Linked DNA regions of Coturnix japonica. The protein of the gene in region 3 purifies or fractionates together with the protein of the main gene of each other region. This does not show direct contact. Links are inferred from orthologs where the notes say so. Each region holds a gene or a part of one and is shown on either strand. Other genes may lie near its edges.

Region 1 (7,809 bases), on a different chromosome or scaffold from region 3:
AATGGTCCTTACTGCCCTCCTGTTATGAACCAGACCCAATACTAACCTACAGTTGGCTCCAGAGTTCTGCACTAAGGAAAATGTCCTGCCTTAAGCTCGTCCTTTTTTATTTCAGACATTTAAATGGGGGAAGCTTTCCCATCATGTGGTTCTGTCTTTATAACACCATTCACCTCACTCGTGTACTACCCATAGCATGAAGTTACAGCTTTTAGATTTCACTACACTACGAAGCATTTTGCCATCTGGTACTTTGTGCTTTACAAATGCAACGGCCTGACTTCAGTTATCTCATGCATATTTCTCACAATCTAGGACAGACCAGTCTGTGATAACACAGAAGCAGCACACAGGACTCACCTACCTTTAAGTTCTTACTTAGCATGTGCTCTAACAAGCTTCACTTCTACATCTTGAGTGGTATGCACAGCCCAAATACCAGAAAACAGGATTAAAATCCCAAAGTATTTGACATTGGATCTGTGCAAGACAGCAAGCCCAATTCTACTGCTGTTAATCTACTTAGTTTGAACTAGCTTTGGGATTTGGGTGTAATTCAATCAAGTTACAATTTAATTAACAGAATAAGCACGTCAAGGTGGCTGAGGGGAGTGCATGGTCTGGGTGTCCTGTTTGGGACAGAGCAGAGTGGCACTGCTCACAGGTCAGGCTGGGTCTGCAGTAGGACCTGCTCACCATTGGAGCTAATGCCCGACGCTTCAGCTCGCAAGAAAACCAGATGAAGCTGTAAATGAACGTGTGTAAATCTGAACTTACTTCGCACATATGGACATGGCAGGAAGCACAACGAAATGGACAATGAGATAAGTGCATACTTGCCATTTGTATTTCTTCAGGTGACAGCTCGTCTTCACCTTTCCCATCCCCCCATAGCCCAAGGTTAGACTGAGCGTCGGGCAGATTCCTGTCTGTAACAGAACAACCAGAGTTTGAGACAATGCAGGACAGTGAGCAGCGAAGCAATGAGCATTTCTCAATATTTCTGAGCTCTGATAAAACTGTTAGATAGCATTTCTCATTAACTGAGATTGAGCGTACAGTTATAGCACAGAATTACACCAATGGCCTTTAACTTTTAAACCAGGGCAGAGATGGACAAGTACATGGGAATTTGTGGACTATGAGGAGTATGTAAAACAACTCACAATGGACCGAGACTTAATAGGGCAGAATATACCACAGCACCTGAATTTAGAAGAACAAAACCAGGGGGTCCCTGCCCACAGCAGATGGTTGGAACTAACTAGATAATCTTTAAAGGTCTCCAACTTAAGCCATTCTATGATTCTAAACCAATGTTCCAAATGCCAGTCTCTATGCAGAGCTACCATCTCCCAATGAGATCTGACAGAACCACCAGCTCCTCATTCCACAAATGTAAAAACAGACTCCCAAAGACATTTTGAGCTACGCTGACAAGAGAAATCCAACTTATTCACATTGCTCAGGCTGCGTTTTACAGAGCAAATCCCACAGCACTCTGGGCAAGGGGCCTTCCTGCATGTAACAGAGTCAGTTCTGAACCCACAAAATAAGCCCTACACATCAGAGCTGCTCCACTGATTTCACCAGCACTTTCCCTTTGATTGAAGCTAATCATCTGCATAAATCTTAGCAGGAGTTGGGCATAAAACATCTTCAATGGCTATTTCTAGGATATTCCCTTCTAGAAGATTTATTTTTAGGCTTAATTATATACCTCTAATTATAGACGAGGAAGTTAGAATGGGAACAAAAAGGAACTTTACAACAGGAACCTACTGCTTCTGAAGCTGTTCTAATATTGGTTTAAACTCCTAACATTAACACTGCAACCTTGAGAAGGCCTCCTTCCCCCAGAGGCATTATTACAAAGCCCAAAACAGAGATCTGCACCAGCTGCAAATGAATTCAGATTTGAACTTGCTTTAACTTACCCTGCAAATTAAAATACAGCAAGATTTAGTTCTCATTTCTTTACGGCTTTCAGGTTTTCTATTTATTCTAGTTGGTCTGCTGGTTTCTGGGGGGGACAGACTGGTCCTCAAACCAGGATGGACAAGCAGTGAGAATGTTACAAACAAAGGATATGGACCTTAAATCAAATAGCTGCTCTTTCTTGCAAGTAATAAGGAAGAAAAACAAGAGCATTTCTAAAGATTGTATGGAAAGGATTCAACCCAATCTTGTCCACTGGGCATCATCAGTATTTCCAATCTATTTCACACAGACAAAACTTGTTTACCTGATCAATATTTCTAAATTATATCAAAATGTATTGAATTCAAAGAAGAGAAGATAATTAGTTTACGGAGCTAAGAAATAAGTAATATTCCTATTTTATCCCAGAGGAACCAATTACTTTCAGGCACTGTCAGCACTGTTAAAACCAGCACCTGTTATCCAATGTGACTGCTAATAAGTAAATACCCAAGTAAGAGGCAAGTGAGAAAGACACATCTCCTCAGAGCTGCATTCAGTCACCATGGTACCGCCAACAGAGCATGTCTCCAGAGAGATTGTTCTCCTACCACAAAGGCATGTAGGTGCCTTATCTCAGTAGGTGCTTTATCTCAGAAGTGTCCCATTTTGGTTTATACCTGCTGAAACACCAGACAAAACCCAAGTGGTGCCCTGGTACTCCAAGGAGAACACTCAGTTTCTCATTATAATGTTAAAATTAAGGACAGGACCAGCACCTTCAACAAGCTTCAACAAGCACCTACCAGTGAAGCTACAAGGCTGACTTCTATGGACAGGAGCTACCAAATGCACATTTTGTGCACTTCTAGTCTATTTCAGATTTATGTTAACATACAACTTTCCTAGTTTTTTTCTAAGACTGGTCAGCATCCCCTTGGAAGCACCGCACCCCCCATTGGAAGCACTACATCAGCATCACTTCTGAAACCAGACCCATATGTCTAGCTGCCTTCTCATACAAAACTATGGGGTAAGCTAGTAGGAACTAAAACTGGAGTAAACAAAATGTGTAATAAACTGTTCTTAGTTTCTATTTGTTGCAGTGGTTTGCTGTGTCCAAAGCAACCACAGAACAGTGTTTTCTTCCCACAGTGTGGCACAGATTTCTGAGCTAAAGATTGCGGTGCTGCTTTGTGTGATGCTTTCAGAGACTGTGGAAACATTCGACAATGAGGAAAGCACTGAGCTCTGCAGATGTTATTGTGCTGTGCTCCTTTGCTGTTGGTACAAACTCACAGCTGCGACATACTGATAAGGTGTTAAGGTGAAACTCACCCATGTGCTTGTGTGCTGCATCTCTCAAGACACTAAGCACTAGAAATGACACCTCATCAAAACCTTTACCTCTTATAGTAAATTCAGCCTCCTGAGAGGAGGAAAAAACCCAATGTGTATCAATAGGGCTGCACTACAAACTGGTTAGAAAGATAAGCAAATACCAAATCGAAAAAGAAAGTTTGTATGTAGTGAGGTAATTCAATATTCGAGTCTTCATTCAGAAATGGAGTACCCCCTTCATATGAGCCCACCCTTTGTAGGACCTACATGTCACTCCTCAGAGAAACTTCACTCTTCATAAAAAATAAACAACAGATTAGCAGACTAATGCTAATTGTCAGCCAATTATATATAGGAGAAACCATGCTAACTTTCTTTGAAATTCCTTACAATGAAGAACACCAGTAAGGTTAGGTGGTTTTGCACACCAAGAATCATAGAATCACAAGGTTGGAAAGGACCTACAAGATCATCTAGTCCAACCATCCTCCCTTTACCTACAGAAAACCCCTTAAACCATGTCTCCTAGCTCCCTATCCAGGCACTTCTTGAACACTGCAAGGGATGGCAACTCCACCACCTCCCTGAGCAGCCATTCCAGTGCCTGACCACTCTGAGAGAAAAAGTTCCTTCGTATGTCGAATCTAAACCTCTTCTGATACAACTTGTGGCCATGAAGAAGAAATAATTCAGGGAAGAAGAAAACAGGAAAGTGCGAATTACAGGAACGGGAATAGGCTTGTAATGGTTTTATTCTTACCTTTATTTTCCTCTGCAGAAAGTTTTTCTTCAGACTCATCTAAAGAACTTTGTGAAATTTTTTCAGGAGAAAGAGCTGATTTGGACACATTGCTCTGCTCAGGTTCAAGTTTGGACCTACAAGCACAAGAGCCTGCAATTTAATTGAGTGCAAGTGCATCTCTAAACTAAGAAAAATCACAGATTTCTTAAATTCACCTCACTCCAACCTGCTTTTGCAGACTTCACATTGAAGATTTCCCAGTCTAAATGCAAAACGGATTTAACAACCTTCACTGAAATACTATTACAAAAGCAAAGGAAGCACGTAATCTTGAACAACACAAATCACATATTCAGAGTTGAGAAGAATTTTGAAGGCCTTAGCATGAAAACCAGACATTTTGTTAAAGTTCCTGTCAAAAATAATCATATTAAAATATACAAAGTTTGGTCACTATAACATTTTTTAACTAAAAAATAGCCATCTTACCCAGTTCATTTTTTCAAGTACCATCTACTAGTTTACTTTATATTTTAAATTATCATAAGGAAGAAGTACACAAATATAGCAGAAATAGCTCTTTCCTGAAACAGGCTTATTTTATTTAACTAGCTGTAAGGAACAGCTTAACCAGGATGAGAGTGATCCTTACCTTGTCTGCCAAGAGACAACAGACCATTTAGAAGCAAAGCAAAGAAAAACCGTATGCAATGGTCAGCTACACATTCCATCTAAGTCACTGCTATGTAATTTTAATACAAAAGCAATTAAAAAAGGAGAAGCGTATTCAGTGCTTACATCAGCACTTCTGTATTTGTCAAGGATTCCTCACTATGAGTGGCTACATACTGTTTTTTCTAGTAAGCCTTCAAGGTCTACTGTTGTCTACTATGAATTCTGTAACTACCTGGTAGATGGTTAAATGCTTAACAATCACGCTGATAGAAAAGCTAAAGAACAACAGCAGAAAACCACCAAGAAATAACGCGCTGCATCACACGCTGTGCCACCTTCATCACTTCCTCCCCTCTCAAATATAATCAACAGTTAATCTCATTATGATCCGCAATCTTCTCCCGCTGCTCAACAGAAGGTGTTGCATTTTGTTTCTTTCCTCCTTTGTATTGCGTCTGAATTCTAACTCATAATTAGAAAATTCTAAGAAAAACAGTATAATGTATTAGTCATCGCTGGCTGACGACGTTATTTAAACAAGGAGAAAATAACAGGATGCATTTATTAGTACTAAAAACTCCACAAGTCTGATTTCTGGTCACTTCAACACTGAAGAATTTCTCCTCCCTCCCTGCTCAAGTTTGCTGAATACCAAGAAAGAAACCCAAAAAAACTTATTTGGATGTCCATGCTGTTAAAATGATAATTCTGACATTATAAAACATTAATTCAGGATATAATCAAAATCCGAACCACCCCAATGGAACCAGCCCATTATGTAAGACAACAGTACCACTCCAGTCACTCGTTGAAGAGCTTTGGGTGTTCAGCTGTGTAAAAGTAAACACGATAAAGAGTATTCTAACTGCAAACCTCTCAGAACTGTTTAATAAGCAAATATTTTACACTAAGTTGCAGGAAGAAGTTCTGCACTAGGATTAAGTTACTTCTGAATAAATGCATTTTTTCATTATCACACGAGAAGTATAAGAGAGCCCTGGAATGCACCTGCTGATAGTGAAAGTTCCTCACCCAGCTAAAGATTTCCATCTAGAACAATCTCCTTAGAATCTAAACATGAATAGAAGTTTTGCTAAATGCCATACAAGCTAAAGGCACAGGCTAATCTGTTTTGCTTATGTTTTGACAACGAGAGCTCATTACTCACAGTCTCTTCTTATCTATCACCCGCTTAACTCGGATGGCTCTTTGTTCTGAATACAGCTTACACACTCCTAGTTGAGAGATCAGTAAAAAACTTCAGGTTAGGAGAGCATGATTTCCTCCTTGGAAAATACACTCATTTGTTTTTAAGCACTCACTGCCGCAGAAGAAATACTACGCACTTTTTAAGTAATCTTCAATGAAGTCTAAGACAGCTGTTCTGTGCTCCTTCACCTGAGCAGACTGGATGTCCTTGTGTGCTGAAATGAAAAGAAAGATACAACATGATCTTCTAATTGGTTATTGCATTGCACAGAAGCCTGCATTTTCAGATCATACACAAGTTATATCCAAATGCCTATTAACATTTTATATATATTACACAACTCTTTTCAACATTGCTATATTTAAGCATAGGTTCTGTAAATCTGTACATTATTATTACACACTATTACACGATGTTTTTATTATATTAAGAAATATTGATTTGCTTTGTTGGGGTTTATTCTGTTCGAGTTAAAAATGTTAAGAGCTACACCCAACAACTCAAGATAACATCCATAGTTGAAGATAATTTCTGAGGAGTTTATGTAATGATAGGGATGTTATTCCATTTTACACAGTGACTTAACGATCTCAAACTTGGAAAGAGTATCCCTGTACAATGTTATAGGTGGACACCATAGAAAGAGACTGTCACTGAGCTTTGACTCAGTCCTCTATGCCATAGTGCAACTATGTAACTAAACAGTAAATATGTAAGACTATCATTTTTATTTGAAAACAAAGCACACCATGCTTGTTAATTAGTGCACACAAACAAATAACATTCAATGCTCTGGCTTATCCTTTCACTTGCATAAAAGAAGCAGTCGTGGTTCTACTCAGTCAACAGGATTATAAAGGTGAAACAAAAGAGGAATGAGGCTTTACCAGTCTCTTTACAAAAGCATTCAGAACTCACAATGCCATGCAATATTCATTCTCATATTACCCTTAACCGATAACTAAGAAAGAACATTTAGAAGCTGCTCAGTTTACCTTCTGTTCTCAGCTGATGAATGGCATCTGCACACGTCCTCATAAATATCTGAGCATCTTGATCTATCTGATCACGCTCGGTATCTGTCATCCTCCCATATTCAGACATAATATGGCTGAGAAACAAGACAAACTGTCACTTATGAAATCCCTAACATAACACCTACAAGTGCACATTTAGGATCTTCTTCCCACTCGCCATCTCCACAAAAAGCCTTTTTGCAACACTAATTTTCACAGAACATGGAGACATAAATTATTTGTATGAATAAAAAGTGCAATATCCATCAATTCTATAGAGCTGAAAGGTTTTTTACAACATTTGTTTGGAGTGGGAAAAGATATAGGAAGAACAATATATCTTATCGTCTCCTGTATTATCCAATACTGAGCAAGTAAGGAGAAAATACAACCAGAAAATAAATAGTCACCCTCAACACTTACCTAACTGTGCAAACTTCACTTCTAAATATAAGAAAACAAATAGAATAAAGGAATAGCTCCAACACTAAAGAAAGTATAACAGTTTGTAACTTATTTCACCTATGTATGCTTTTAGTTCCTAAATGCTGAGCTTCATTTTTAAAGTAGCTGTATTATGAAATTTGTGAATTCGTACCTTTTATATCAAGTAGATTATAAGACTTATTGCAATCTGTCCATATTGTTTATTTCCATTTTACTTGATCCATTATACATTTAATATATTCTAGTAGAGTTAGTATATTCTTATGCTAAGTATATTCTTATGTTTACCTTGGGTCTCTTGATCACTTGGTCACCACTGCCTGTTATATCTGCCTTTCAACAGGCAAGAAAAACCTAAATGAATAAATCTACTTTAACTCAGATTTCTATACGTGAAAAATTTCCCCACTTGTTCAATATATGAATAATGCAACTATATTAATGCAATTAAAGAAGTG
Region 2 (6,785 bases), on a different chromosome or scaffold from region 3:
TATTCGATTCCTGCCTCTTGGGGTGTTTTTTATGTTTCCTCTGATCTCATAGATATTAGTTTTTGTTTTTATTAATCTGAGCAAAGGGTAGTCAGAAGCAAGTTGAATGGCAGAAAACTTCTGAGAGTAAGTTTCTATTCTGGTCAGTTTCGAAGGCTCATCTCTGCTGAGAGCAAGAGGTATTCTTTCTGACATGAACTTAACCCAGGCATTTCAGAAATGACCTCAAGTATAGGAAAGGTCAGCTTCCATAATGCATGGTATGAAACTTAGGGTGTGAATGAAAAATAATCAATACTTTGAGGGGCAAGGTGGCACACTTGCTCTCAAGTGTATTTCAGTATTCCAAATGTTTCGTTGGCTAATGACTAATCTAAACTTGAAATCTTTCCTTTTAAAATACAGATAGCATAGAAGCTAATGTGGAAAATGCTGAAGTACATGTGCAACAAGCAAACCAGCAGCTGGCAAGAGCAGCAAACTACCAGGTAATGTCAATGCCTACTGCCAGTTGATTCCTTTCTCAGTAGTCCTGATTTAATATAGTAGTTCAGAATTAGACTTTTTCTTAGGTCTTGAAGACTCTCTTGAAAGTGTATTCTAGACTATGACGGTATTGTTAGGTCACCATGGAGGTGTTTGGGGGAGAAGAGCAAGTTCTAAAAGCTTTGGATTTCACATAAAGTTAGCTAGGTTGTTTCAGATCACCTTGAATTTTACTGCTACTTAGAACAAAAATGTGTTCTTTTAACGACTAAAGAAGGAAAGGTAAAGAGTGAGTCTTTAAAGATCACTAGAAGAGTACAGAAGTCTTCTGAAGATGCTGTATTAGAATCAATTTTTACTGTAAAAATTCATCTCAAAACTTGAGTATGTCTAGTTTCTGCTAATTGCTGCCCTGATGCCAAAAATGCATTTCAAACTCTCAAATTTTCTGATGAAAAGCTCCTTTGGAAAGACCTTTTAATGCCGCTTCTTTTTGATTTTTTGGCACTTGTAACAAGTAATCTTATTACTAATAAGTCTTCCTTCTTTAGTGAAAATTAGTCCTAAGATTTAAAAAACAACAACAAAAAAATATTAATCCTCTTATGTGTATTAACAGTAGCCAAGTTGGTAAATCAATGACAAAATATCTGAAGGATTGCTTGCTGATCTCAGAAGTGGGAGGGAAAAAGGGTGGGCATGTCAAACTGTATGCTAGGTGGCAGTAATTAAGTATGACTGATGGCTATTTTGATACTGACAAAATTGTGGAAGAAAAAAAGATAGCAACAGTTAAAATTTTCTTTGGAAGGTGTCTGTTTTGGGGTGGAAATTTAACATGAAAACCTTTGCACTGATTCATCTTAAAAGGGCAAGGATAAGTATTTTCAAGGTTATCAAGTTTTTGACAAGCTCTTGTTTCATGCATCTCACAGCAGAGACCAAATACTCAGCAGAGTTTGCTTGTGTTAGGAGGGACTGTATAGTTGACTTGAAATTTGAACTTGCCTTTGCTTGAATGCTCAGCTTTGTTCTGAGTATTTGAAAAACCATTTAATATATCTGTGCTCTTACCCACTTAGGGAACTGGTAGAAGCTTAGGCATCCTACTGAGAACTAGGTTTGGTTAGTGCTCTCACAACTCCTTTTTGTGAAAGTGTTCACCATCCTTTTGCCCTGTGGGATGTGTTCATGGAGCAGAGCTACTGGGGCAAAGCCAGGCTTGTCTGCTCTGTTTCTTTCCTCCATTACTGCCGCTGCTTTATACTTGTGGAAATGATCATCAAGTGTATAAGGAAATAAGAACTCCATGTCTTTATTCCACTACCTTGCCTAAGTAGTGTTACAGAGAAAATGTTTGACTTTAATGTGGTGTTGGTAAAAAGTGCTCCAGGATGAAAAAGGAAGAAACTGGGAGTATTAAGATTTGTAGGGAGACAATCTGGCTGCAAGAATGGGACCCTAGTAGAAGGTTGAATGCTAGCAAATGAAATGATCAAACAGCTAAGGGGCAGAGATCTCAGTTTGAAAATGGGAGAAGTGAGTCAGCAAAACTAGCAGCAGAGAATATCTAAGACAAGAAAGAAGCTTGGTGGCCTGCATGGTATTGGGCAGAGACCAGGCTCAGCAAGGAACTGGCACAGATGTAGTCCCGCAGGAAAAACAGTATAAACAGTGATATAAATCTTTGCTAAAAGGAGAGCAGAGCCTTGCTCTGCCTCTGGAGCTGTGAACTAGATTCCCAAGATTTGAGTGTAATTATTCTTTGACTACTAGCAAAAGCCTGCAAAACCCATTAGTAGAGTGTGTTATTTTCTGTCTTGCTGCTTGAGATAAAGGATGAGAATCTGTTCCTAGCCTTGGTTGCTTTGGCATCTCAAGTTACAAACCTGTGTGGGAGATCTGAAAGTTTTGAACATGGTCTTACACTGCATTATAATGACATCTGTAGAGACTGAGTCTCTTTAAGTTGTGTTTTGTTGCTCTTTAAGAGCAATTTGAATGTAATAAACATAACAAAAACAACTTTAAAATAACTGAATTGATGCAAACTCCACCTTGAAGAAGTCTAAGAGATCAGTTCTTTGGGGCTACTGTATATACATTTATACTTTTAAAATATCTTTCTTTTTCCAGAGAAGGTCATTTCTACCTCCTCTACTGTGCAGACCGATTTTCCTATTTACAAGGCCATCTGCTTTCTGATATTTTCTTTTCCTAGTGTTTTATTTAAACACATTCAATATGTTGCTGCATTAATATTTGTGCCAGGAAACACTACTGAAATCATTTTGTTGATTAATACAGCCAGAAAATTAAGTCATGGATTATTCTTTCCTTTAATTACTTTATATAACTTGTTTGTAAGGAGACAGTTCAGTTAGATTTCACAAGCAGGAGGGCCATAAAAACATTTCAGTTGTTGTTTCATCTTGTGGTGCAGTTTTCAATCAATTTCTTTTTCGTCCTTGCTTACAGCAAAGATCCCGAAAGAAGATGTGCATCCTCATCGGTATACTTGTTGCTGGAGCATTGATTCTTGGAATCATCATCTGGTTTTCTCTAAATAAACATAATTGATACTTAAATTATGAAAGGAAACTTCTGCGGTAATGGTTTGCTCATTGTGAAGCTCAGTAAAAATGATGGTTTTTCTGTACTTCATCACACTCACTTTTTTTTTTTATGAGACTTTGTTTTAACTTGAGAAATAACTTTCTCAGTAATACCATAACTGCCTGCTCTCTTGGACGTGAGTGCTGCCTTACCAGTAAAACCAGTCAGCATCAAATACTGTTCCGTTAACTTAACTTAAAAACCTCTTAAGGGTTAGGAGATTAATCAAAATCTTGATAACTTGTGAAGGAAGGGGGAGTGGGATGGGATTATCACTGAGATACTGCTAAATGTTATTTCCAAAACAAACTCCTGAATTGTTGCTTGAGGCAACAAATTCACAAGTTGGAATTTAGTCTTAAGCTAATAATGTGCTTCTGTCTTTTTCCCTTCCGCCTCACCCACCTGCCCATTTGATATGGGTGGTTCAAAAACGTGACATAGATGTGAAGTTACTGTGATCTCTTTTTAACTGAAGTCTTCAAATTAAGCCTTCAGTTTGCCTCTAATCTTTCAGATGCTTAATGTATCTCTATCTGGCGTTAAGTCTGGTTATGCCTGGAAGACTCTGCGAAAGTAGATAGGGTGGATGATATAATTATTTGGATTTCTTCTTCGAGTTTTTCCATTAAGAAATAAAGTGTTATGTGCATATGCCTGGTATCTTCGCATCTGAAGTGTTTATCGGTGAGCTTGGCTAGACGAAAGTAAGCTCGAGTCTGTGAATTATTAAATTTACTGGGAAGAATAGAAATTTCCAGCTTCCGAACTGCACTTGAATGTTACTGTTCTGAAACTGCTGTGTTTCAGTTTCCATGAACAGATCCGAACTTATATGTAAAGCCTTTCATACATCTGAAGAATAGATTACATGTTAAATTCCAAGTTCAGTGATATTTGAAAACAAGTTCTTAATCAGTTGAACTTACTCAAACTGCTTAAGAATTCTGATGCTTATAGCCTTTAAAATGACCTTTCTTTTTCTTTTGTGCCATTTTGTACTAATGTATTAAAAATGTAACCAAACACTTTTTTTGCCAATTAATCTATATGCATTTTTAATTGATGCTGATGAACTAATCTAGAAAGTGTACAGATGGAAAAATTCAATTTGTATTTTATAAGGATCTTGTACACTAGACTGATAGAGAATGCACTGTTTACATGGTGAACTATGAAATGTTGCTTGGAAACAATCTAAGCAAAGGTGGACTTCAGAATTGTAACTGTGCAACCAAAATAAAGGTCTTTTAAAGTGTTACATTTTTTCTAGTACTCTTTTCTTCTTTTTCAGGATTTGTCTATATAAACCTAAGTGTTGTCTTTGTGTAAATGACTTGAATTTCTGTCTAGTACTGAAGAAAATTTCAGCTCTTCTGCTGTTCCTGTGCTAACATTTGTATTGTTAATGGAAACTCTCAGATCTTTTCTCCCCAACTCTGTGACCCCAACCTTAGGAAAACAGGTTGCTTTGCTCTGTATTTCTGGTGACACAGACATTAAGTTATCCTTTGGCACAGAGACAGGAATCCGTAGTGTGGGAAGGAGACTTATGCTGATGTATTTGGATCCCAAAAGCAAGGGAGGAAAAACTGTGTGGTTATAACCTACGTAATGTGGAGGAAAGCCTCTCAGACTGCGAGTAAGTTGTATTATGGATGTTTGTGTGTTGGGTTCCCAGCTACAGTTTTCATGTGACTGCCTTTGTGCTGAGTGCGAAGCTGGGACTCTACTTACTCTTTCTTGTTAAATAACCATCAGATTTAATTTAGACCCCTGCCAGCCATGGTAATGCTACCAATTAGTGATGCTAATACTTTGATTAGGCAAAAAGTGTTATGGTGTTTCTGTGCTTTGTTTTGTATTTAGCATGTACACCCTGGGAGGGGGGAGTAGGAGAGGGATGGTAGGGCCATAAAGACCCTTCTTTAAGCTGCACTTAATGGAGTTGCTCTCTTTCTGCCTTTTCCCTCACGTACGTATTTGCAGTCTTAATTGTATAAAATGCAGTTTTCAAGCATTTAAAGAAAATGTTGATAGTTGTTAAGAACCTTAAAAAGAAAAACAAAACATCTGGATATAATATGTGTGAGGCAGTGTTCTTAGAAGAAATGTTTTGGCTGTTTGAAATTATCCATCAGTATGGGAGATTAGCGAGGCCAAAGAAAAAACATAAATGCAATCAAAGCACTCTTCATTTTACTGAAGGAACCTGGTAAGAATAGTTCCTTTGTAGTTATCTTAACCCACTCACCAGGGGTGTCTCTTTGTTCTTTTCTGCCTTTTCAAAGAGCTGAAAATCACAGGGTCAGACAACTCTTTAAAGATTTTGTGGTAGCGTGGATTGTTTTGCTTTTCACTGCACCTTCCCCCCTTGGAAATTGTTCCTGATAATCAACAGGGTGTATGGTATCACCAAACCTCGTATCTAAGCCTTCTTACGTCACATATGAACTCCAAACGCCTATGTAGCTGGTCACTAACTTGGTCTGTTTCAAAGATCAGTTGTGCTGTTGGGTATCATTGGAAAAGACTTGCTTTGCTTTTATTTAGTTCTGGTTGAACCTTTTTGGTGTTTTCAGGAGACTGATGAGTTTTGAAGGAGGAAAGAGCAGAAAGCTCTTGTTTGATGTTTTGCTATACATCAGCACCTGATCACTTTGTTTCTTAACCATACCTGCAGCATTAAGTGGTGCTTCAGTGCATAGTGTGCAGCTTTCGTTTTCAATTTGCAATTAAGCACAAGCATCATAACCAACATTGCTGTGGGGTGGGGTGTAATTATTCTCTGATGAGGTGCCCACCTGCAGAGCCATCCTAGATGTGTTGCAAGAATAAATACCTGAAACTCATCAGCTTTCAGACATCTTCCTGCTTGTGTGTGTCTCTGATATTGCTCTTGAAGCATGCAGATAATAGAGTATTCGTTTAATTCTCTGCGTGACCCAAATGAATTCAGTGATAAAAGAATCCAAGTGTTTTCATAACAAGATCTCTACAAATGCAGAAATAACTAGAAAGAGTAACAAAATGTTCAATTTCCAAAGACAAGTTGTATTGCCTCAACTGGAATACCACTGGAGCTTATGAAAGAGGTCTTCACACTCAGAGCCACAGCATGGGCCACTGCTTCAGCTTGCCCCGAGTCCTGCCTGCAGGGTAGACCTTTGTCTGGAAAATGTGAGTAGGCACAAGCTGACACATATTTTCTGCTTTAGGGGAGAACATTAGGAAGCAGCTTGCAGAAAGGATAGTTAAATATATTACCTATCATCTGCGTCGTGCATGCTCCTACCCACCCTCACATCAGCTTGAATGTGCTCTCTGCAAGGAGGAAATGGAAATCCAAAATTAGTTTCCTGAAGCTTAGCAAAAGAGAAGAACCTTTATGTCTCTTTCTTCAAGTACTTCAGTGCCACAAAGCATCACTGAAGTAGCAAAAAATATCGTTGTCTGTTCCCTGACAGCTTTTATTCAGCCAGATAAAGAATATATAAATACAATCATGGAGACCAGCCACTATGTTGTCAGAGAGAATTAGGTTGAAGAAGCTGGGAAGATTAGAAATGCTTATTAAAAAGTAGATTTAAACTGTCTTTGTAAGGTGACAAAAACACAATGAGGCTAATCTTATTCTATGTCATACTTATTTTTGATGTCTTTAGCAAATCAGTCTTTATTTA
Region 3 (8,313 bases):
AGAAAATTAAATTTCCAGAATTTATTTGACTACAAGAAAACTATGCTATTGTGTGACCGATTGGTACAGATGCTTCTGAACCTCGTAAGTTTCGAGCGATTTGGGAGTAAAACAAATGTGCTTCCACTAACTCTTACGTTTGATTATTTCTCTGATTTACTCCTTTCTGATTTCATTCCAGTCTCTTCTTTCTGGGTCTGCTAAATAGTGACACATGTAAGCAAAGTGGCACTTAGTGTATATACACTACAGTAAAAAGAAGAGAAAGCCTGCTGAATGTTTTTGGAAGTAATAAAAAAATGCAGCAAATACACAATTTAATTATTTAGAACCTTTCAATTGTTCTATTTTCTGCAAAACATATTTATTTCAAAAGTTGCACACAGTTTTAAGTTCTCTTGTTCCAAATCAATGTACAGTTTAACACATCCATGATACAGCTGTCAGTCTGATAAGTGCAATGTATCTTTCAAGATAACTGGTAAACTTTTCATAATGAGGTAATAAGTACCATACTGCTCTAATCCAGATGTCAAGTAGAATCATTACTGTTTTAAATACTACTAGTATCTTAATAAGGCTGTTTTGTTTTTGTCATTCTATCCTAATGATATTTAAGTTACAGGATGATTCAAAGAAATATTAACCTATCCTGGGATACATCAGCACCACTTCCTCATCAAAGACCAGACATTTGCTTGCACATTCACATTTAATAAGACTGCTTTCGACCTAAGAGGACTCATCCTTTTGGTGCAGATGATTTGCAAAGACAATCTTCAAGCGTTTTTGTGTTTGTTTTGTTTTTTTTTTAATATCAAAGCTCACATGAATTATACAAAAAAAGTTATTGCGAATATATTACTTTTCTCTGGGTTGAGAACAAAAAAACTGAAAATTGTACTATGTCAAACAGCTTCAATTTTCTCACTTACCTAAGTTGTTATCAATTTTTTTGTGGTAAGCTTGCAGACATTGATTCTTTGGATAGGTATCCTGTTGCACTGGAGAAGTTGAATCTATGTTGCTGAAATCACTATCTGCTAAGAATACAAAATAAAGTATACAATAAAGAAGAATTGTGTTTTGGAAAGATATCAAAACTTAATTTGAATATAGATGTCATGTACATTTAGCATTCCCTCAGGTAAAGGCACTAGCGAGTCACTTCTGCCCTCTGTTGGACAGGCTCATAACGTTACGTGAAACATAATGGATATTGATGTTATCAGAAAGCATTTCTTAGAGAATTACAAATTGGGAATGCTAGGAGGATACCAGTCTCCAGAAGTTAGGCAGCAACACAAGTCAGCAGTTGATCCTACTTTCACCACTGAGCAAGTTCCCTCCACTTTGACGACAGGCATTTAGTATAAAATAAACAAACCTGAATTATCTAGGCGCCTTAAATTTGGATGACTTTCCTGGTATTTTGAGTCTTGTTCTTTGCTAGACATCATTGCTTCTTTTAATCTGGTAATAGAAAGAATAAAGCATTCTTACAGATCAAAGGTTTCATTCTAAATCAGTTAAAAAGCAACAGACATTAAAATTATCCAACAAAAGAGAACTTCCTAGACATGATCCAACATGTCCCTTTACAAATAATTATTATCACATCTTCAGTGAAAGCAGAATCAGTTGCTCTAGTGCTGAAAATAGCGTAAGCTTTGATATCAAGAACAAAACCACATCTGCAGTCTTGAAGGCAACCTATTCCTTTCCTCTAATTGAAAATAAAAAAGGGAAGCAGGAAAATCAATCCATGCAGCACTACCATGTTTTACATAAATTTCTCAGCTGAAGACACAGATGTACTATAAGACATAGTAATTCATTTCTTTTTATAACTTTTAATAAATAAAGTTGAAAAAGATGCATAGTATTTAAGAAGAAGCATGCCAACGCTGCAAAATCATGATTTCCTACTACAATTGAATAAAGCATGATGATCCAGGGGACTCTAAAAAATAACTTGTGAATAAATTCATAAAAATCTTAAGTTATTGTTACCGTTAGAAATATAAGATTTTTTTTTTTTTCAGAGTTAAAGCAAAAAGGGAACCAGACACCATCTCAGGAGTTTACAGATTCAATACATTATTTGTTAATTCTGATTTTTCTGGTGACAGTTCAGAGATGTTATGGGGGAAGAAAAAAAAAAAGCAAATGGTCTAACTGAGGAGCTCAGGAGAAAAACACATGAATGAAACTAGTGATGCTGTGAGGAAACAGAAGAAACTCTCTTTCTTAAAATCAGATAATTGGAGAGGGATCAAAGAGCACATTGTAGACAGCCAAGACCCTAGTAACAGAATGAGGAGTATATGACAGCACTGCGTCCCACTTCAAGGCTTACTCTAGAAGAACTGCTCTAGATCCAGATTCTCTCAGAAGATTTCTGATGACAGGTAATTCCCCTGCTTGAACCCAAGAAAACAGCATCATGCCCTGATAAAATTTTCATTTTACTTACCTACTGTTGCCATAATATTCAGGCATCCCATTCTGTTCTGGTTTGTTCTCAGGTGGCTTGGCTTTAAAGTAGTTAACCAGGCCTCCAAAAACACTCTTAATGCTATTTATGTGCCTTTGACTAGTCTTCAGGTCCTGGTCCATTTTATCAACCATTAGTTCTGTACGCTTCAGTGCCTCTCCTTGACGTACGAGCTCCTAATGGATATTGACAGATAAAATGAAGCTAGTAAAGCCAAGGTAAGCTGAAACATCAAGCATTTCAATAAACGTGCTTTAAAAAAAAAAAAAAAAAAAAAGCCTCTATGAACTATGCAGGCTACTCCTAAAGTCATGCAGCCTTTTCACTCACTCCTGTTGTTCTGGGGCATTTCAGTGAAAAGCTGGCAGTAAGGTACAGCATTGGCCAGCTACAAAATTTTTGCACAACCAGTTTCTCGGTATGTACTACAAAAGGGATTCAGGCACTTCCCATGCTGGCCTTCTGTCAGTTTGTATTGCTTCTTGATGGAACAAATATTGCACCTAACGGACAATGTAGTGAAAATGCAAAGGTTTACAACAGGGAAATAAAAACTACGTCTAGTTCTGAAACTGGAAATTAACAAGGGATGCTATTTTCATATTGCTAGGTTGTTCCAGATGATTTATAAACAGACTAGTTAAAGAAAGTAAATAGAGCTAGAATTTTTTTCTTCCTGCAGGATTAGTTTTAAGGTAATGCTAACGGTGCAGAAGTTATAAATCCTGGTATGCACAGCTGTGTTATTTTGTATTTCAGTGGTATTACGCCAAACCAATCCAAAGATTCATTCTGACAGAAGACGTGCCCTCAGCTAATGCCAATGCAAAACCAAGGACTTGCGTTTATCTACAGAACTCCAGAATTACCATTAACATTAAGCTAAGGCCCAATTCTTGGTCCCTCATTTCAGCCATTTGTAGCTCGCTAAGCTGCCCCCAGCACTGCTCCTGGAGCCACCCCGGCAGTCACGGTGCAGCACTCAGGCAAATTCCCAATTACCGGATGACATCACAGCAAGGCCCTCGTTAGCGATGTCTGAGTATAGACTGCACTCCAAAACAAGCACGTGAGAATTAAGGAAATGATTAACAGAGGTGGAACCAAGAGCGTAATCGACAACAAAGCACGCAGACTTCTTATTTCATCAGAGAGCTGCTGAAAACTAAGTATATATGCACTGTTAATAAAACCCAGTAAGAAACTGACACGGCTGAGTTCTGCTCTCAGTGTAAGAGGAATCTAACTGGGATTTCACGCTTTAAAAACCAGCCTTCACCAGCAGCAAACCGTGACACGGAGGGGCGTGCTGCCTCTGAGACGCCGATCGCCGAGAAGCAACGACAGCGCCCAGAGGACGGGAAAACATCAGCACCAAAACCCACAACGGCGCGGGGCGGCGGGAGGGAACAGCCCGGGCCGGGAACAGGGGCGGCCCCGCCGCCGGGTCGGTGCCGCAGGGGCCCAGACTCACCTCGGAGGTGGCCACGCCGATGCGCTCGGACTCGTAGAGCAGCGAGAGGGAGCGCGCGGTGCTGTCGGCGGTGGCGGCCGTGCGGCGCAGCACCTCCTGCTGCAGGGAGCGCTGCCGCTCCGCGCCGCGCACCTCTCCGCCGCCCCGCGTCTCCTCTTCGTCCTCATCGAAGGGGTTGTAGCTCCTCGACGCGACCGACATGGCGAACCCCCACACCCCGCTCACGGAGCCTTCGCTCTTCCGCCCGCACGCACTGGGCGGCACTACCGCTTCCCCGGGGCGGGCCGAGCGCTCCGCTCAGCGAGGGCGGTTCTGCGGCGGACGGGCAGGGCGGGGAGCTCCGGGCAGGGCGCCGCCATCTTCTCGGCGCGATTGGCGATCCACAATGTCGCGAGACGGGCGCTCTCGCGAGAGGTCTCCAGCCGCTCCTTGACGTCTCTCACGCAATGGCGGCCGCGACGGTTGCGGCGGCGGCAGCGGCGGCAGCTACGGCAGCAGCGGCAGCCGCCGCGACCGCCGCCGCGACCACCGGCGGCACCACTGGCGGCGCCGCAGCTCCTTCGGCGGGCACGGGCCGAGGGAGCGGCGTGGGAACCGCGCGGGGCTTCTACTTCAATACGGTGCTGTCGCTGGCGCGGTCGCTGGCAGTGCAGAGTCCGGCGCCGCTGGAGAAGGTGGGGGGGTGTGACTCGCGGGGGCTGTCGCGCGGGTGGGAGCTGGGCGCGAATGAGACGCGGGTGCGGTGAGGGAGAGCGCCCGGCTGTGCCCGTGTGAGCGCCGCGCAGTGCGTGGCTCTGCGGGATGAGCGCTGGCCGTGGGCGGCCGGGCGCTCTCGTGGGCCTGCGGCGAAAGGGCTGCGCGCTGACGAAACCCGGGCTGGGGCTCGTGGGGCGTAATTGGTCTTGGCCTTGTGGGAGCTGGTCGCGAGTGCAGCATTTGGTGAAGTCAGAGTGATGTTATTTGCTGAGATAGACATCTGCCGAATGTCGAACTCAGCAGGAGGGTCTCAGTCTAGGGAGGCGTTCTGCTGTGATCTCTGCTCCGCTTGGAGCTGTGGCCGTGAGGAGACGGCATCACAGCTTGGTGCCTGCGCGCAGGGTGGCACAGCTCTGTACCAACAACTGCTGTACGTGGCTGTTCTCACCCAGGTGCTACAGGGCTTTTATTTAGTTTTTCTGAAGTCCTGTTGTTGGTCATACACCTAGCTGCAAATCATAAAATCATAGAATCATTATAGTTGGAAAAGACCTCTGAAACAGTCTAGTCCAACTGTCAGCCCAGCCCCGCCATGCCCGCTGAGCTGTGCCCCTCTGTGCCACATCGCCCCAGGGAGGTGATTGAGTCACCGTCCCTGGATGTGTTTAAGAGCCTGTTAGGGTGCGATGCTCAGATATACAATTTAGCAGAGGGTTGTTGGAGGTAGGGTGCTATGGTTAGGCTGCGGTTGGACTTGGTGATCTTTGAGGCCTTTTCCAACCTGAGTTATTCTATGATACTATTATCTCCACATTTTTAAATATCCCCAGGGACAATGGTTCCACCACCTCCCTGAGCACTGTTTCTTCATATCCTGCTGTTTGCTCCCTGTTACCTGTTGTTAATTTTTTTCTTCAGTATGAGAAACTACAGTAGGAGTTAAATGATATCAGTAAGTGAGCTGTGTAATTATGATGCTTTGAAAAGTTTCTGAAATTCTTTTGAAATACAAAAAGAAGCTGACTCAAGCATTGCAGGAAACTGAAATCAACCCATGTCAAATAGTTGTAGATTTTCCCGGTATCTATTACTCATTTCTTTTTCTTGGGCCTTAGATGTTTTCATTCACACACTGATGCTTAAAGGAGGGGAATGTGGCCAAGCTGGGTGTCCTACAGGAACTGGAAAGAGCACTGTCCCCTTCAATTACAGGAGCTCTGGATGAGTGCTGAAATCCACAGCCTCCAAGACTGATTCTGAGCTGTGAAAATACTTGCATGTGTTTTGGTGCAGCCCTGACTTCTGCTTGGGGTGCTGTGGGACATGGATGTGATGAGTAGAGATGGTCCTTAAAAAAAAAAAAATAAATTCAAAGGTCTACTGAGTTGTTTTTTTGGTTTTGTTTTTCTGTTATTGTGTTTTGTTGTTGTTGCTTTGAAAGATGGTCCTAACGCTCATTTGTTTGGTTTCTTTGCACTGCTCTTTGTTTTTTGGCCTTGTTCCCCATCGTTCTTTCATTTCACTGTTCTTCAGGTACAGAAACTACTCTGTATGTGTCCAGTGGATTTCCATGGAATTTTTCAGCTCGATGAACGTCGCAGAGATGCTGTGATTGCTCTGGGAATCTTTCTAATTGAATCTGATCTTCAGGTATTTTCTCTGTTAGGCTTCCTCTTCTGAACTTGAATTGGATTAATTCAAATGCAGTAATTCAATTAATGAAAAATTGTTATTATTTATTCTAAAAGTTGGCATGATAAAAGGTCAGAAATAAAAGATGGAGCAGGCAGGAGAGACAAGGAAACAAGAACAGTACTGATGCATATGATCGTTGCAGATTAAGGAGAGACAGAAAAGATTAATTAGTTTTATGTGGGCTTGCAGGTGGTGGTAGACTAGACGGAGGCAGTTGTGTAAAAATTTTAAAGGGTAGGTGATGAATTAACCACATAGCATTGAATTTGAGGTAGTAAACGAGGGAAGTGGCTTATGAGGGGAAGCATGATTCGTACTGTCAGGTTCGTAATAGCCTCATTATGCCTTAGCATTAGCTAGGATTAATCTTGTATTCTGATGTCGTATTTAGTAAAACAAGTTTTTTCCTCCTTAGATTGCTGCTGCTGTTCTTTTTCCCATTCCCCTTTTCCCTTCCTTTCCGGGCCGGGGGCCCTACGGGGCAGCTGCCCCTGTCACGGGCACAGGTAAATCTAGGTAACCCGTGACAGACACTCAGTTTATATAGTTGACTTTGTGTGCAGGCATCCCTGTTGTATCTAATTATGACAAGCTGTTTTTTGTTTTGTTTTGTTTTTTGTCCTCCAGCACTGCATGTGGTATTGTTTTTTAAAACAGAAAGGAAATATATACTGGCTCCAGGGTCCAAAATCATTAGACTTCTTTGTGCTTTTCAGTTTCGCTAGGGTTTGAATTGGCCTGTGTTTCCACCTGTGATTCAGCTTGTATGCATAGTAGACTTTTTTTTGTAGTATGAAACTTAAGGCAATTGTATTCATTCCTCTTAGCATTTTTGTAATGTTTTCAAAGCCTTCAGTTTTAATTAATCCAGGTCTGTAAGGAAGGAAAATATTATCCCTTGATTTGTAGATTTAACACACCCATTTTGTTAAATGGGTGTGCAGACTAATTTGTACAAGGCCATAGGGTGGGTCTCATAGAGTATATAGAGGTTGGCATTTCTAGAAGTCTAACTGCCATGAAATTATTTTGTGACTTTGCTGAAAATCAGTACATTAATTGGAGAAAGAAGATCCAGAAACTTAATTAATCCCAACTTTTATCAAGAATAAACTTATTAATTTGAGTGAAATGCTTGAGTTTATAGCACTGAATTCATTTGTTTATGATCCTTTGCCTATGCTGAAATTTGTTTTGCATATACAAGAAGTATGTGGAGTAATTGTTAGAAGGAGTTTTGTGTGTGGTTTCGCTCCTTTTAAGTACCTTGGGATGATATTCTTCAGCATTTTGTCTCCATTTTAAATGTAATATTTTGCTTTTTAGCACAAAGATAATGTGGTTCCTTACCTCCTTCGGCTTTTAAAGGGACTTCCCAAAGTCCAATGGATAGAAGAAAGCAGTGCACGGAAAGGCAGAGGTGATGTTTGTTGTTGTATTGTGTTACTTTATTATTATTGTTTTTAATTATCATTCTCAATAAATAACAGACAAGAAATATAAGTAAGTCACTTCAGGGTAAGGTATAGAGGGAGGTGAGAGTTGTGATGGGGTTCTCAACAGTCTTAATATTAATTGTTCTTTAGAAATGGAGAGGAAGCTGAACACCTCCCAGCTTTCTTGCTTGACTGCTAAGGGGCAAATTAAATGATAAATTGCATTTTCCAAACAATTGAAAATAACTTAGTACTAGATTGGGGAAGATTACATAGTAATTAGAGCACCAGAGTGGAACCTGAGATGTTTATACTTTGTTTTTGTTAGATACTGATACTTAATTTCTTGCTCCCTTATTATCTCTTAAAATTAATACAAGAATAAGTCTGTTTCATGAGAGAAATTTGTTTTCTATATGTATTTGAAAACCTGGAGAAGTTTTTACAAATTAAATATATTATTTAAATGCTTCATGCTGAAATAATGATGGCTAGAATATACTATAATTTTGTTT

Evidence for each region. The genes of interacting proteins can lie anywhere in the genome.
Region 1: the proteins of SNAP29 (region 3) and STX18 purify together in Homo sapiens (affinity purification with mass spectrometry; 3 studies listed by BioGRID and IntAct, counting the BioPlex papers as one, with this or other methods). This does not show direct contact. The link is inferred for Coturnix japonica from reciprocal best matches to the Homo sapiens genes SNAP29 and STX18.
Region 2: the proteins of SNAP29 (region 3) and STX7 purify together in Homo sapiens (affinity purification with mass spectrometry; 3 studies listed by BioGRID and IntAct, counting the BioPlex papers as one, with this or other methods). This does not show direct contact. The link is inferred for Coturnix japonica from reciprocal best matches to the Homo sapiens genes SNAP29 and STX7.

The regions. Positions count from the first base shown.
Region 1 is NC_029519.1:71,356,722-71,364,530, forward strand, and holds part of STX18 (syntaxin-18), read right to left. Parts: intron 7,000-7,809; coding exon 6,884-6,999; intron 6,103-6,883; coding exon 6,025-6,102; intron 5,914-6,024; coding exon 5,847-5,913; intron 4,138-5,846; coding exon 4,022-4,137; intron 930-4,021; coding exon 841-929; intron 1-840. UniProt on the Homo sapiens protein: Syntaxin that may be involved in targeting and fusion of Golgi-derived retrograde transport vesicles with the ER.
Region 2 is NC_029518.1:51,550,142-51,556,926, forward strand, and holds the end of STX7 (syntaxin-7), read left to right. Parts: intron 1-405; coding exon 406-488; intron 489-2,964; coding exon 2,965-3,066; 3' UTR 3,067-4,363; downstream 4,364-6,785. UniProt on the Homo sapiens protein: May be involved in protein trafficking from the plasma membrane to the early endosome (EE) as well as in homotypic fusion of endocytic organelles. Mediates the endocytic trafficking from early endosomes to late endosomes and lysosomes.
Region 3 is NC_029530.1:56,633-64,945, forward strand, and holds the start of SNAP29 (synaptosomal-associated protein 29), read right to left. Parts: upstream 4,326-8,313; 5' UTR 4,173-4,325; coding exon 3,972-4,172; intron 2,674-3,971; coding exon 2,477-2,673; intron 1,474-2,476; coding exon 1,388-1,473; intron 1,044-1,387; coding exon 936-1,043; intron 1-935. UniProt on the Homo sapiens protein: SNAREs, soluble N-ethylmaleimide-sensitive factor-attachment protein receptors, are essential proteins for fusion of cellular membranes.